Drosophila melanogaster: one gene and its partner. Changing the gene in region 1 together with any one later gene gives a genetic interaction. Each region holds a gene or a part of one and is shown on either strand. Other genes may lie near its edges.

Region 1 (6,999 bases):
TCAAACATGTCAATCAAAAGTCATTTGCTATGCTGCCCGCATGCCACGCAGCGTTCGATTTTGGCGCAAACAGTTTGGCGTCGAACACCGCATATTGAGCTGCATTTGATCGGCAGCCGTGGGCTGTGGTCCCCGGTCCATGGTCTCCATGGTATGACAATTTAGGAGGATCCCTTCTCCCGCCAGCAGAATCCGCTTAGTGCAGCCATATCCTTTCCCACATGCACCCACCAGTAGCTAGACCCTCGGAAAATGCTTGACAGATGCAGCTGAAGGCTTGTGCCAATACTTTTTGGTTATTTTGCCGCAAACACGCCTAATATGTGGATGGGGTCTGGGGGCGGAGGTCAGAGGAAGGCCTTTTGGGACCGGTCCCTTGATGTTTGCCCTACGACGTGTGCCCAATTTAAATTTTCTTGTATGTATTGTATGTGTTGGCACACGGATTGACTTCTACTCGAAAAATACCCTAATAAGATTAACTGGCATCTACGCTTTACGATATAAATTTCACATTTCCATTAAAGCTTTTATCCAAAAGAATACAATGTAAAGCATTTTAGCTTTCTTTTCATAAGTGCAAACAAATGCGATTTATGATTTAATTGCAAGTACAAAAAGTAAAATAAATAAAACCCATTACGAAAGATATAAATCTTGATAAAGTTAAGTCAAGTATTTATGACGAAAGTAAACTAAATTTCCTTAAATAAAATATATGTTCAAGTCAAGGGCATTTAGCATTCGCACTGACCCTGTTGATTTGGTCCTTGTTTTTATATATTTGCCTTTTGATTTGTTTGCGGATGCAAGTTGCGTCTTTTGCCAAGGGCGTTCCAACATGTTGGGGGGTTGGGCATTGGATTTGAAATTTGTGTAAATTGAATTTATTGAAGTCTAATAGTCCCACGTGTGCGCGCATATCTGCTGGCAACGCCAGACTTTCCTGACAGCCGTCAATATATCGATGGATATATATTGTATGTATTCAATCTATATATATGTATGTATGTGCGATGTGCATGCAGGTTCCGAGAGGTGAAGACGTTTGATGTCAAAAACGCTGCAAGGCGTTCGTCTTCCTCGGTCTGCGTTGAAGGGATGGTGGTATTTATAGTCTACTTAAAGGATTCCAGCACAAAGCAATTTCAAGTTGCCTGGGCCGTAAGTTCGGATTTCGATGACGGGATTCTGGGAGCACGTCAAGCGAGGACAAACAATTTAACTGAACGCGCTGAAAAAGGGGTGATTACGTACAGGATGGGTAAATGGATGTTGGGAGATGGGGTATGATATTGCGTGGGGGATGTGTGCTGTGTGTGTCCCCTTTTTCCACCAACGGGTGTTTGTCGACTGGCGGCGCCGCAACCGCAGATGCAAAAACACCGACGAAAGCGGCTGCTGCCACAAGCTATAGCAAATCAACAACCAACATCCAGCATACAGCAACCGGCGACAACCGACCGACGACGACTTCATTTCAAATAATTTACATTTTGCGGAATTTACGCTGAAATTTTAATTGGAATTTACTTTGCGACTTTTTCGTGGGCGGCCTGCGTAGCGCTAATTTATGGTTGGGAAAACTTTAGCCTCGTCTTCCGCTTGTTGACAAGCCAAATTTGTCATGCATTTAATGGCTTAGGCAGCAGTACCGTGCTGTCACGCCAATATTGAGCCGCTTGTAGTACAAGCACAATCAGACAGCATGGCGTATGCGTAACATTTCCATCGAGCAGGAACAATACTCGGGGGAAAACATCCGCGCAACAGCTTTCCAAAATCGAATGTACATACATATCTTACTCACATATACCTTATCAAATCGATTTAGTGCATGTTACGAAAAGGTTTTATATGCAAGTATATAAACTGCTCTATTAATAAAAGAATGATTTGAAGTGATGAATACAGGGGGTTAATTACGCGCTGTTTTTTTTTTTTACAGTGTTGATAGTTATATAATCCTTCAATATAAATATGGAACTGTTAAATTAATTAGGTACTAGTATTTTTTTTTTGTCTTTCGACTTATTTCTGACTGAGAAAGTTAGCTCTGTTGATAGAATGCCATTTTGTTCCATTTACAGCATCTCCTCGTCTGCGACAGCAACAGCTCTGTAAACGGCTGTAACCCATTAACACACTTTTACAGGCCGCTCTGCCGAGCAGTTAACAGCTGGCTAACAGTCGAGCGCTCGTTTGTCGCCATTCGCTTTTGATTCGCCTTTGAGTGGGTGAGCGGGCGACTGGGCGAGCGCTTGAGCGACTGAGCGGCGGCCCACTTTGAGTGCAACATGCGCGCAGCCGACGTCGCTGTTGAAGCTCTGCAGCAGCTGCCGAGCAGAGGCGTTGGCGTCGGCGTCGACCGAGTGTGTATTCGCAGTCGTGTTTTTGGGGGCACATTCCGAGCTGGGAACGCAGCCTGTAAGTGTGTCATTGTGTCCGTGTTTCCGTGTATCCGTGAGCTTCCGAGTATCTGAGTTTTGAGTTTCTCAGTCTTTGAGTTAACGAGCTGGCGAGCTTCGTGCGGCGCTCAGGGAAATTCGGTGGTTCATTCGTCTGTCAGCCAGCCGCAGTCGCAGTCGCTGTTCGCAGAGTCCGCCGTTCGCAGTCCGCTCGCCAATTTGGCCCGTTTGTGAAAATATTCGTAAGGCAGCCGCAGTCGCATGCTGAGAGGAAATAGGCGCGCTACAGATTCCGATTGCGATTCTTGTACTGGTACTGGTTCTGTTTCCCTTTTTTCTGCTTCGGATCTACCAAGAACAGAATACGGGGGGGAAAGTAGAGGAAGAAGCAGCAGCAGCAGAAGCAGCTGGAATAAATGATTACAGCTGGAGATTACAAGCGCATTGATTGCTGATGGCAACGGTGCGGATGAATTTCGGTAAATGTCGCGCGCGCGTGCCATTGCGTATACGCAGCGTTGGCCGTCGCCATTCGGTGACATTGTGCGCTCGCTTCCGCTGGGCCGCCAAATGCATTTTTCAGTTAATTTAAGAAAAAAGAATCTTGTGCGAAAATCAAATTAAAGAAAAAAGTGAGCAGCCTTCGCGGAAATAATATAAATGTATATTATATATTTCGAGAAAATATTATTGCATCTGCTCTTGTCGCATTGCCCTTGTGTTTTTCCGCTTTTGGTTGCGCCGTCGTTTAAGCTTTTCGGTTTCGTTTGTGTGATTATTGGGTGCAATTAATAAAATGTTGTCGCGCAAATTTATATACACGTGTATAAAACTAATGCAAAATGCCAGCCGTCGCACGTCCGTTCAGTTTTACATGCCAAATGGCCAAAGGAGAAATATTTTCGAAAAGAAACACGCTCAGCGAAAGGCAGTGAAATATGCACAAACCCTAATCGCAATCACCAGCGTTATTTGTTATGTGCCCAGTGCAAATGCGAAATGCGAAATGCTGAATGCAAATGCAACAGTCGAGGGCCCAACGCTGGAGGGAGCAATAGTCATACAGAAGCTATCGCCGCCGCTACGATAGCGATAACATAAATAAGAACAGCCAAAGCGAATCACGGACGGCAGAGCCACTCATCTATAAGCCAAGACCCACAGTCGAACACTCACACTCACACACACACTCAAAATAACACACAAACCCGTAATGCCAAGTACCCCGGGCACTGCAATCAAAGTAGCTGGTGGGTGGAAGTGGGGGCTCATGTTCTGGGGGGCAGTGAAATACACATAAAACAAATATCATAAGCGGTGATCAATGGCCTATTAGCAGCGGGAAGGTTAACCCGATCTTTGGCGTTCCAATGCTTAGTGTAAATAAAGAAAAGAAATATAGAAATGCTTATTTAAATGCCAGAATTTTAGGTATTCTTTTTATGAATTGTAATTTTTGTAATTTGTGATAGCGAAGCATATAAATTGAAATTTCACATTATTGGTACGTTTCTACATTAATATCTGTAGTCTTAAAATAGGGAAGTGATTCGTCACATATTGAAAATGAAACAACTATAATATTAAATTTATCCTCAAATTAAAATGAAGGTAACTTAGTTTAATTCTATTTTAGTGCTTTCTTTGGTAATTGTAATTACAGAAATTATTCAATAAATTGTGTGCCATGATACAGTCATAAAAATTACAAGAATGATATTGTGTAACCCAATCTACACACTTCTTGTGAACTAACTGTGACTTTTAAAGAGACAATAGGAATGTCAAATTTGTCCAGTGTATCCCAAACGGAAGTGTTGATATGGCCGCAGCTCAGTCACAGTCCCAGCTCAGTCGGTATAGAAATTGTCATCTCATAACGACTTAAGCTGCTCGGCACGCAACATGACCGGGCTGAGCAGCATAGTCAGCATTTCTGCACCTCCCAGAATCCAGCCCATCCTCCTCAGCAAACACTATTGCCACCCACTTTTCCAACCCACTGCCAATGCCCCTGGGGTCACACACACTTAAAGCCACAACAAACGCATCCACAGAATCTTTGAGGGCGATGACGATGACGACAACGACGATGATGATGATGACAATGGGCGGATGATGGCAAGTCATTTCTTTAAAGGTTGTCTCTCCATCAGTCGTTCTGTGTGCACTGAGTGATTTGGCTTGCCAGTGCCTTCTATTTACTTTCTATTTATTCGATTTGCATTTCCACTCTTCGGAGCCAAAAACTCGGAAGATTTCAAATGCAAATTCAGCTTCCCCAAAGCCGTTTCGAATAACTTCTGTGTGTTTTGTTTGGCTGTTGACTTGGCTTTCAGGCTCTCAATGGCTCTTTGGCTATGGAAATCTGCGACATCCATTTGGCAAATGGTGAGTATCAGACTAAATAATATTTGATTTTAATTAACAAGGCATCTAGTATTTGTCTTATTTCGAGTGTATACTGTCTGCCGGCATTTATGCCATTGATTTGTTATATGCCAGACAAAACGGACCCAATGTTTGCACAATAATCTAGCAATCAGCTTATACGTAAAGCAATCTGCAGCATCCATAAATTAAATACAGTAAGCTTTAGCTATAAGCGACAGTTCAGCTGACGATAATGTGTGTCCGAAGCTCAGAGGGAGAGTTAAGACTTAAGCCGATTGACTTGAGCAATTTTCTGAGTCGGTCTGGCGTTATTATTATTTCAATTGAATTAATTGTGGAGTAGGTTATTAGCGATATCGAAGGTGATATTAGATCCGTAATTATAGCACACATATAGTAATCATCTTATTCTTGTTTTGAATGAACTGACAATTATTTAATTTGTCTAATTTGGTCTTGTTTTATTGGAAATTGAGTGCTCTAATATACCTTTTGGTTTCCAAATCAAAAGTATATAGTATATATATATATAGTTCTAAAACATTTTATAATTAATATAACTTAATACCCGGAGACCTTACAAAACAATCACTGTTATAGAAATCTAATCAGTGTTAAGTACGCCTGCCGATTTCAATTAATTTTTGCATTCGTCCTAAGTTTATAATCAACAGTTCGGTTATCAGATTGCACTTTTTATAGGCGTTGATGGGAAATCAAATTTAAGAGGGCTTTCTGGAAATCATTATAACGTGCTATTAACAAAACTGCCATCACAGCGAAATTAGGCCCAAATTTGCGTTCAACTTCAATGGTCAAAAGAGGAAGTGCAAAATGGCGGGCCAAAGTACGTCCGATGCAGAAATTAACGCAATTGTATTTTTGCTGTCGGCTCCGTTGAAAATGCAATTTAAATGAGATTACACTTTGGCGAGCGGCCACGCCTAGTTTTTGCGGTAGAGGGCGGGCGGGCGTTTGTAGGTGGGCTGGCTCATTAATTATGATACTTTGAGCTTCGAGTGGCGAAGCTGGCTTGCGGCTTGTATCGGAAATACCCGTTAAATCGGCAAATAACCGCAGGCCGTTCCAGCAAACACACATATAACCACCCCCCAACGCGCATACTTAATGATATTGAGTCGTTGGCCAGATGGGTGGTGTGGGGGGTGGGTTTATATGGCGATATTCAACGACAGGTGTTTAAAACTTTACCTTAAATAGCAACTCCTCGGGGGAAATGCGGAGATGTTGTGCTATGTCTTTGGACACCAACGGCGAATCTGGGGCGTTGTCGGCATTTTCTTGCTCAATCAACTTCAATCAAGCAGGAATTTTCAATGTAATTTGTGGTTTCAAAAGCGCTGCCACGCTGAAGATGTTCTGGCTGTGTCAAAGGCAGCCATTGAGTGTGTAGAAAGGCAGAAAATTATCGACAAGGCCCACAGCATTCACACACACACACACATACTTACACGTCGAAGAGAGTAGGCTGCGAGCTTGAAGGGTTCGAATAACAGCTACCCTCTGCTGACTGCAAAATCTTGATTATGTCGAAATATTATATTTTATTATTGGATGTCATATATTCCTATGAGATCTAGATTATAGTTAAAGTCCAATTCTTTGCATTAAAAGTTATGCGCTCCCATAAAGCGATGAATATTTGGGAAATATGTTAAGCCCATATACCCTTGTATTTCACGGCTAAGAGGTATTCAAAGCCCCCACGCACACAAAAAGCAATGAAAGTTGGCGCCGTGGAACAAATGAAGCAGTGTGAAAATCTTGTGTTGGGACCGCTCTCCTTCCGCTTGATTTGATGGCCTCTGGGCTTCTGCTTCTCGTTTTCCCAACTTCGAATTACAACGGAAAACGGCAGCAGAAAAGGCGTCTGAAACAAAGGGGGCCGAGGAGGGAAGGAAGGATATGCCCGCCGTCTGTCCGCTTGATTAGAAAAGCTGCAAGCGATAAGGAGGCGCTGAGAGAAAAGCGCAAAATAAAATAGAATTCTAATTGAATTTTATATACACAGATTCTCCTTCTCCTTTCGCCCATTTTCCCTTTTTAATTCTCACTTGGACTGTACTCAACTGCACTGTATTCAACTGCCCGCGGCCAAAGTGTCCGTTTGATGTCCTTCCCTTGTCGCCGCGTCCTGATTTATTGGCCTGCAGAGGCGAAGGAGCTGCGCTTTTGG
Region 2 (6,999 bases), on another chromosome or scaffold:
CCCATTCCAGGACACGAAAAGTCACTTAGAAGACTGAGAATCAAAAGAAAAACGGCCAATGTCCGCCAGGTGTCCAAAGTACTCGCCCTTTTTTTTTCTATTTTTTATTTTTATTTTCATTCCTACGAATTGCATTTTATTGCCACGACAACAGTTCACAAAAAAAAAATTCATAGAAATGAGAGTAAGAAGGGAAGGAAAACTGAATAGAACCGCAGACCATGGCAAACGTAAAATGTTCACCATTTAACTAAATTGTTTCATTTAGCGTTGGAACAAAGTGGAAATGGGGGAAAAAGTGGGTGAAATTCTTGCGGGTGGGTAGATAAATGAGTTCCCAAATATAATACAGATTAATGGAGTCAAGGGATTTGGCTCATCAAATCCCGCAGTAGTTGCGCCGTTTTTCTTTTTTCTCGCGGAAGAAACAAATAGCAGTCAGTACATAACACATAAGTCCACATAAATTGTGCAAATTTATTTCACATTAATAACTATTGTCATTAAATTAAACAAAAGCTCGTGTACAGCTTTGCACATATTTACGTTTAAAATCTCTTTTATGTTCAAACAAACACCAACAATTTCTAAAATGTGTGCACAAATATATTTCTTACCGCCAAATGATGAGCATAAACTCTCAACATTTTTCTTTGTGGATTAAATGTGGAACCTTGGCATAACTTTTAATTAGCCCGCAGTGTTGAGTAACTTTTTAAGGAGTTTTTCACCTGCGAAAGTTTATTAAGTTTGCAGAAAATTGCATTCGGTTTAGAGTACTGTGGGTGAGTGTGTGTGTGTGTGTGTGTTTGTCTGCAGCAAAAGTACAAAAGTGGCTGGCTGTTGAGTTGTTGAGACGTGTTCTGTTATTTTTTTCGCCCCAGTTGTTGAGCAACTGGGCTGATTGGAAACGTAACGGAGGTGAAACAAATGCAGCCTCTCAGCCTCCCAATTTCCCACTCTTCGCACGCTTTACCATCACCACCCGAGAGATCCGCAATTCGCACGCCGGAATCCCCATTTCCAGCTCCAGCTCAAGCTTCATCTCCATCTGCGTCCGTGTCCAGGTACAACTGCTCCGGCTTAGCCGCAAGCCGGACCGAAGGACACACACAGGGAAAAGTGGGAAAATTGAGTTGAAAATTGTTCGTGGCACACACTTCACAGGCAACGCAAATTGACAGCTGTCAATCAACCGGTCGCCCACTTGAGCCCCACTCCACTTCGTCCTGCCAGGTGCCATTTCTCCATCCTGCGTCCTCCAACCGTGTCTGCAGATCCCATGGATGATGAGGCTTCATCCATTGGACTCCCGGTGGACAGCGATTGCCAGCTGCTGTTGTGCACTTGAAATTGATTAAGTCCCGGACCAAAGTTTTCCCAAGTTTCAAAAATGCAAAAGCCAAAAATTCAGACAGCAAAGTGCACTACTAAAACGGCAAGGAAACTTACTACTAATATTAAGCATAAAATTGATAAAATCACAACTAAATGCCTTTAAAGTCCGCAAGCAGCTAAAAAAATTTAATATGATTTTTAAATTTATGAAAAAAACCATCCCGCCAAGCAACATTACATATTCAAAGAGATCACAACTCCAACTTGTATAGGGCAAAAGAATTTCAGTTTAGGGCCGCTCAATTACAAACAGTCGGTGCTTCGAAATACCGGCAAAAAAGGAAACATCATCGTATCACTTAAATTGCAGAGCTTCAATCGAAATGTGTGTCCTCATTGGCCTCAAAACTGCTTTCCCCTCAGCATTTCACAATTTCTACCGACACACACACAGAGGGATCTGTGCGAAAAATGCTGGGGGAAACTAAGGTACTTCGAACTACGTCGTTGGCCAAGTGTTTCAATGACTGGCGGGAGAAGTTGAGCTCCGACTCGAACTCGGACTTTTATGAACCCGCCACACATTCGACAACTTCCGGTGCGTTGTCTATGTCCTTGCACACATACATAGTACATAGAAACAGAAACAGAAGGATGATGGTAGGTCCTGCCGGCTGGCAGTTATTAAGTTTATGGCCATAAACTTGCGGCCAAATAACTTGATACTCCATTTTGATTGCGACTGCGAAACCAGCTTCGAGCATTAGTTCATCTGGAATTCTGGTCCGACTGTTTCCATTTGGCATCTGGCTAAAGTGCAGCAGTTTCTGCTGCCCAGAAACCACATCATTTCGTGAGCAAACATAAACGAAAGTCAAGTACAGTAAGCACAAAATTGAGCAAAACACCTGCATTTTTGATGGCCAAACTAAACTTGCCTTTAAAGTTTGTTATTACACAATTTACTTAAGAATCCCATAAGTTTCATATTTCTTGCCTCAATGCCAATCTTCTCAAGCCGTACTAACATTAAATTTAATAATTGGTGCATTACTAACATATAAATAGGACTTTCCATCTATATTCTAAGTAATAAGAACCAAATTGAATTGTGGCAACCTTCTGGGAAATTGAACATTGTGTCTTGAGCTTACTTGTATTTCTGCGAAAATAAGTACGAATACATAGTATTTGGTCCGTTGCCTCTCGATTTCTTTGGGCAACGGTGCGTATGAAGGATTTAACCAATTATACGCAATACTGCAGCGCAACTTTTACAATAAATAAATGCGAATGAATACAAAAAGGGGAAGGTAGAAGGCAACTTTGAATTGACAAGGGAAATTGAAATATTTAAGTACTCTATTGATAAGAAACAATAACTAAAGCATCTGGCATGGCCTCACTTTATATATACTTTCATTATGTTTTATTAATATAAAGAATAATTATTTATATTATAATTATATTTATTAATTTAATATTTTTCATAGGTATAAACAATAAATATCAATATATATTTTACAAAACGTTACTATAGTAAAGGACCCCATACTGTTACCTGTAGTTTGACCCAATTAGTAAATCCCAATCCCTTATGTAAATTGAGATTTGCCAGCCATCCGAAAATTGCCCCCATCCAATGCGTTTTAAACCACCAAATACTATTTTCTTCGATTTTTTCCAGTGTATCTCTGTGTCTCTGTGTGTGTAGCAAACCCATCAGTACCACCCCCTCCAAAAATTAAAAAAAAAAACCCAAAAAGCCCCACTGAAAAAAAAACCCACGAATATAAAAAAAAACACACCCAAAAATCACCGCACTTTCGGCTAGCCGAAAACCACGAAAGAAATTCGCAATCATTCGCAAGAACTCGAACATTAAATACAGGCAAGGAGGAGGATAAGGCCGGAAATAGCCGAGTAAAGGAGGGCCGCAGGAGCGGCAGGAGCCGAAGGATACCGCTCACGTTCGAGGATCGGCGGGCGCTGCCACAGAAACCAGAACATGCGCCATGTCAAAACTGCGGCATTACCGGTCCATGGATCAGCCGTGCAGCAGCACCTGCGTGGTCATACGCAAAAAGTTAGCAATCCAGAGGAAATTCTTTAACTCTAAAACACCACAAACGCCACCTGACCTCAAAAATCAGCGGAAGCGCTTTCACTTTTCCACCAACTAAATAACGAAAAACCAAAAAAAAAAAAAAAAACAAAAAGCTTTCCTCTTCTCTACGCTTTTATCTATATGCACGTCAAACTAAAACTGAAACTGAAACCAAAGCCAGGACTCTCACCTTGGAGCTTTCACATCCTTAACCACATTCACCGCATGCCAAACTAACACACTAACAGCTTTTCGAACTTTTCCAAGCTTTCCAATCAACTTCGAGCCTTTGGCTTTCGTATCCTTTCATATCCTAAGGACGAAGCTCTTTTTCTCGAGAAAAGCTTTGCAGCCAAGCAGCCGATCCAAAAATAACATCTGCCATTCAGACATTCTTCACCGCATGACACTGTCCCATCTTCAATTTTCCCTCTTTTCCTCGCTTCTCCTTTTTTTTACTGCATGCACTTTGCTTGTCATTAAGTTAACTTATAGTAGGTTTTTACAATTCACTAATCGCCGTCTTGTGTATTTTCAGGACTATGACAGCCATTTGCTTTGTGTGCAACCTGCCCATCATGTCGCACCAAGTGGGTTTGGTGTGGCAGGGCGGCAACGGCTGGGACGATCTTGTGCGGGAGCAGGTGGGTCGCACTAATTCGCAATTATATTATGTTACATATATATATATATCTTAAATATTTCCCAAAGTGAATAAACAATTCATGCGAAAGAACCATTTTTGATGGTTCTGAGGAAGTGCTTGTGGCCTGAAAAAGAGCTTGAGCTAACTAAATCAGAGCTGCTTTCAATTGACAAACACTTTAGCTTATTTACAAAAAAAAAAAAACAATATAAGATAAAATTTATTCAAATCTTACAGAAAATTATGAAACTGAACATTTATTAAACACATTTTCGTTAATCGACAAATAATTTGTAATCGAAAATGTAAAATATATCTCAGCATTTAGTTTTAATTTGAAACATTTTCTTTTTGAAATTTAAAATAAATTCACTGCAGCCTCAAATTCAATAAATTTAATTTAATGTTTTAAATCTACATTTGTATTTAACAAAAGTTTTCAACTTAAAAGTGGCCATCTATAGAGAACTTCCCAACTACCACTTTCAGTGTAACCGAACCTTATGGCTATAGATCGTTGAATAATTCTTGAAGATCGTTTTGAGAATAATACGATGTTCCGCTTTCAGCTGGAGGAGTCCACCATACGGCAGCGGTTGGGCGGACGACGGGACTCAGCGGCCCAGATCACCACACCGCCGAGCACCTCGCCGCCGCCAGGATTGCAGCGCCGGCGGCGCAGCTCGCTGGCCCAGCTGACGGACATCCTGCGGGAGTGGAGCGGCGGCACCAAACAGCAGCAGCAGCACCACTCGCAGCAGCAGCAACAACAGCTGCAGCAGGCATCCCGCTCCAAGGCGCAGCTGAATCGACGCGAAACGCTGGCGGATCTGGCCCGCAGTCTGCCGTGGCGCACCTCAACCACCACCGATGCGAGCACGGGTGCCGGTGGATCGGGTGGTGGTGGCTGCACCACTTACATGGCGCCACGCAAGCGACGCGAATCATCCGCGGACTCGGGCATCCGGAGCATGAGGTCGCGACGAGACTCGAATACCGCCGAGTTCGTCAGGCACTGGAATCGGCGCGAAAGCGGGGCAGTTGAGGAGCAGCCCAGCGTCTCCGTGCCCGTCGTCGTCGAGTGCTCTAAAAGCGTAAGTATTTAGCGCATATATACTCTATAGAGATACAAAATCGGCTGCCTTAGGCAATAAGATATAAGATTGCTGGCAAATTCACTTAAATATGTTTTTATTATAAATAAATAACCGATTAAGTTAGTCGAAGCAACATTTCCAAGCAAGTGCATTTGCCAGTTGAGTTCTAAGTAATTACCAGCACCTTTTGGCTCCACCTTGACCACAACCTTGACCCCTAACCCGTGGCGCTGTTCTCTCTCTCTCTCTCTCTTTCCCACCATTCCACACCAAACCACCGCACATCCTGGCAACTACCAACCACCGAACCACCAAACCATCAGGCATCCCGGCGCGGATCCGGTGAGAGCTACCTGTCCAGCAGTCGACGCGATAGCAATGTGGCCGGTCGGGTGACCACGCCACCGCCACCCGGCAAATACCAGATGACCAAGAAGCGCGACTCACTGGCCGCGCCGGAATTCCCAAACTTTCGGCAGGAGCAGCGCCCGTCCACCAGTTCCGCCGGCTCCTGTTCGGACCACTCCATGCCCCTGATCTCGACGCATTCGAGCACTCACCACCTGGCCCATCAGCAGGTGGACTCCGCGTGCCAAGCCCTGCCGCCGCCAACGATCATCACTAGCTCCGTGACGCCACCGGCAACGAGTCCGACGGCGCCGAAGGGTCGCCGCGATTCGCAGACGCAGTGCGGCCGTGTCAATCGGCGGGATTCCAAGGCAGGCGTCAGTCCGGAGCGGGCGCCACGCCTACAGCGGCTGCAACGCCAGGCGACCGCCTTCGACGAGGGCTGCCTGCCGGGCGGCAGTAGGCGTGGCTCCCAGCCCGCACTCAGTCCCGATCCGCCGGACGATTGCGAGAGGCGCACCTCTCGACGGGATTCCCTGTCACCGGATAGCGCGTCGCGTGGCGGTCGTCGAGATTCGCGAACGCATCTATCGCCGGATCGATCCCACGAGCGGGATGGTAGTCCAAGGCGGCATACACTCCGCAGGCAGAGCAGTTCGGCAGCCAGATCGCCGAGATCGCCGGACTCGAATAGCTGCTGCTCCTCCCGGGATCCAAGTCCCTGTTCTAGGCCACAAACGCAGACCACCGTCGAGCAGAACCAGCGGCCGGCCATTCGGAGGCAGTCCACCACCGAGGAGATACTGATCGCCAGGGGATTCCGCCGGCAGTCGACCACCGAGGAGATGATACGCTGCAGGAACTTCCGGCGACAGAGCTCGCAGAGCGACGACGTCTGTCGGTGAGTGCTGATATTTAACACTTGTTACAATAAGTATATGATTATATTCAATTATACACCTGTACTTCCAGTTATCGTGGCAGACGCGATTCGTCGGCGCAGATAATTGACGGCACCATCGGCACCATGACCGTGGAAACAACCAGTACATTTTTCGACTCCAGCACCCAGACAGGTGAGCACTTTGATTTTTGAAATTTTCCCACCCAATTGGTACTGCCAACCGGACTGCGAGCTTTTCGGGCAGCTTAAGATATCCTTTGAAAGCTTGAAAAGTGGAAAGCTTTTAGGCATTTTCCCATGTTTACTGAGCGAAAAGCTGGTGTCAGCTGTTTGGCGCCAGGACAGCTGTTCGTTGGCAAGGACCTGTCCACTCGGCATGGCATTCGCGTCCTTTTCACTCGACACATGCCATTCAGTTGGTGTTGAAGTAACAGACGTGCCACAAGCACCGCAGCAGCCAGTCGCAAGAAAATCGCAGCCGGCAAAAATCAGCCAGAAATACATAAACAAAAAAAAAAGAAAACCAAACAATAAATATTAAAAATATAAAAAAATACGT

What was found.
Region 2: of Octbeta2R (region 1) and rsh, changing one enhances a phenotype caused by changing the other (phenotypic enhancement), as found in Drosophila melanogaster (one study listed by BioGRID).

Annotation. Positions count from the first base shown.
Region 1 is NT_033777.3:12,591,283-12,598,281, reverse strand, and holds the start of Octbeta2R (octopamine beta2 receptor), read left to right. Parts: upstream 1-3,177; 5' UTR 3,178-3,772; intron 3,773-4,283; exon of another isoform or gene 4,284-4,799; intron 4,800-6,999. UniProt on the Drosophila melanogaster protein: Autoreceptor for octopamine (OA), which is a neurotransmitter, neurohormone, and neuromodulator in invertebrates. Essential for ovulation and fertilization.
Region 2 is NC_004354.4:13,027,732-13,034,730, forward strand, and holds the start of rsh (radish), read left to right. Parts: upstream 1-3,023; 5' UTR 3,024-3,353; coding exon 3,354-3,424; intron 3,425-3,983; coding exon 3,984-4,089; intron 4,090-4,660; coding exon 4,661-5,185; intron 5,186-5,511; coding exon 5,512-6,437; intron 6,438-6,508; coding exon 6,509-6,612; intron 6,613-6,999.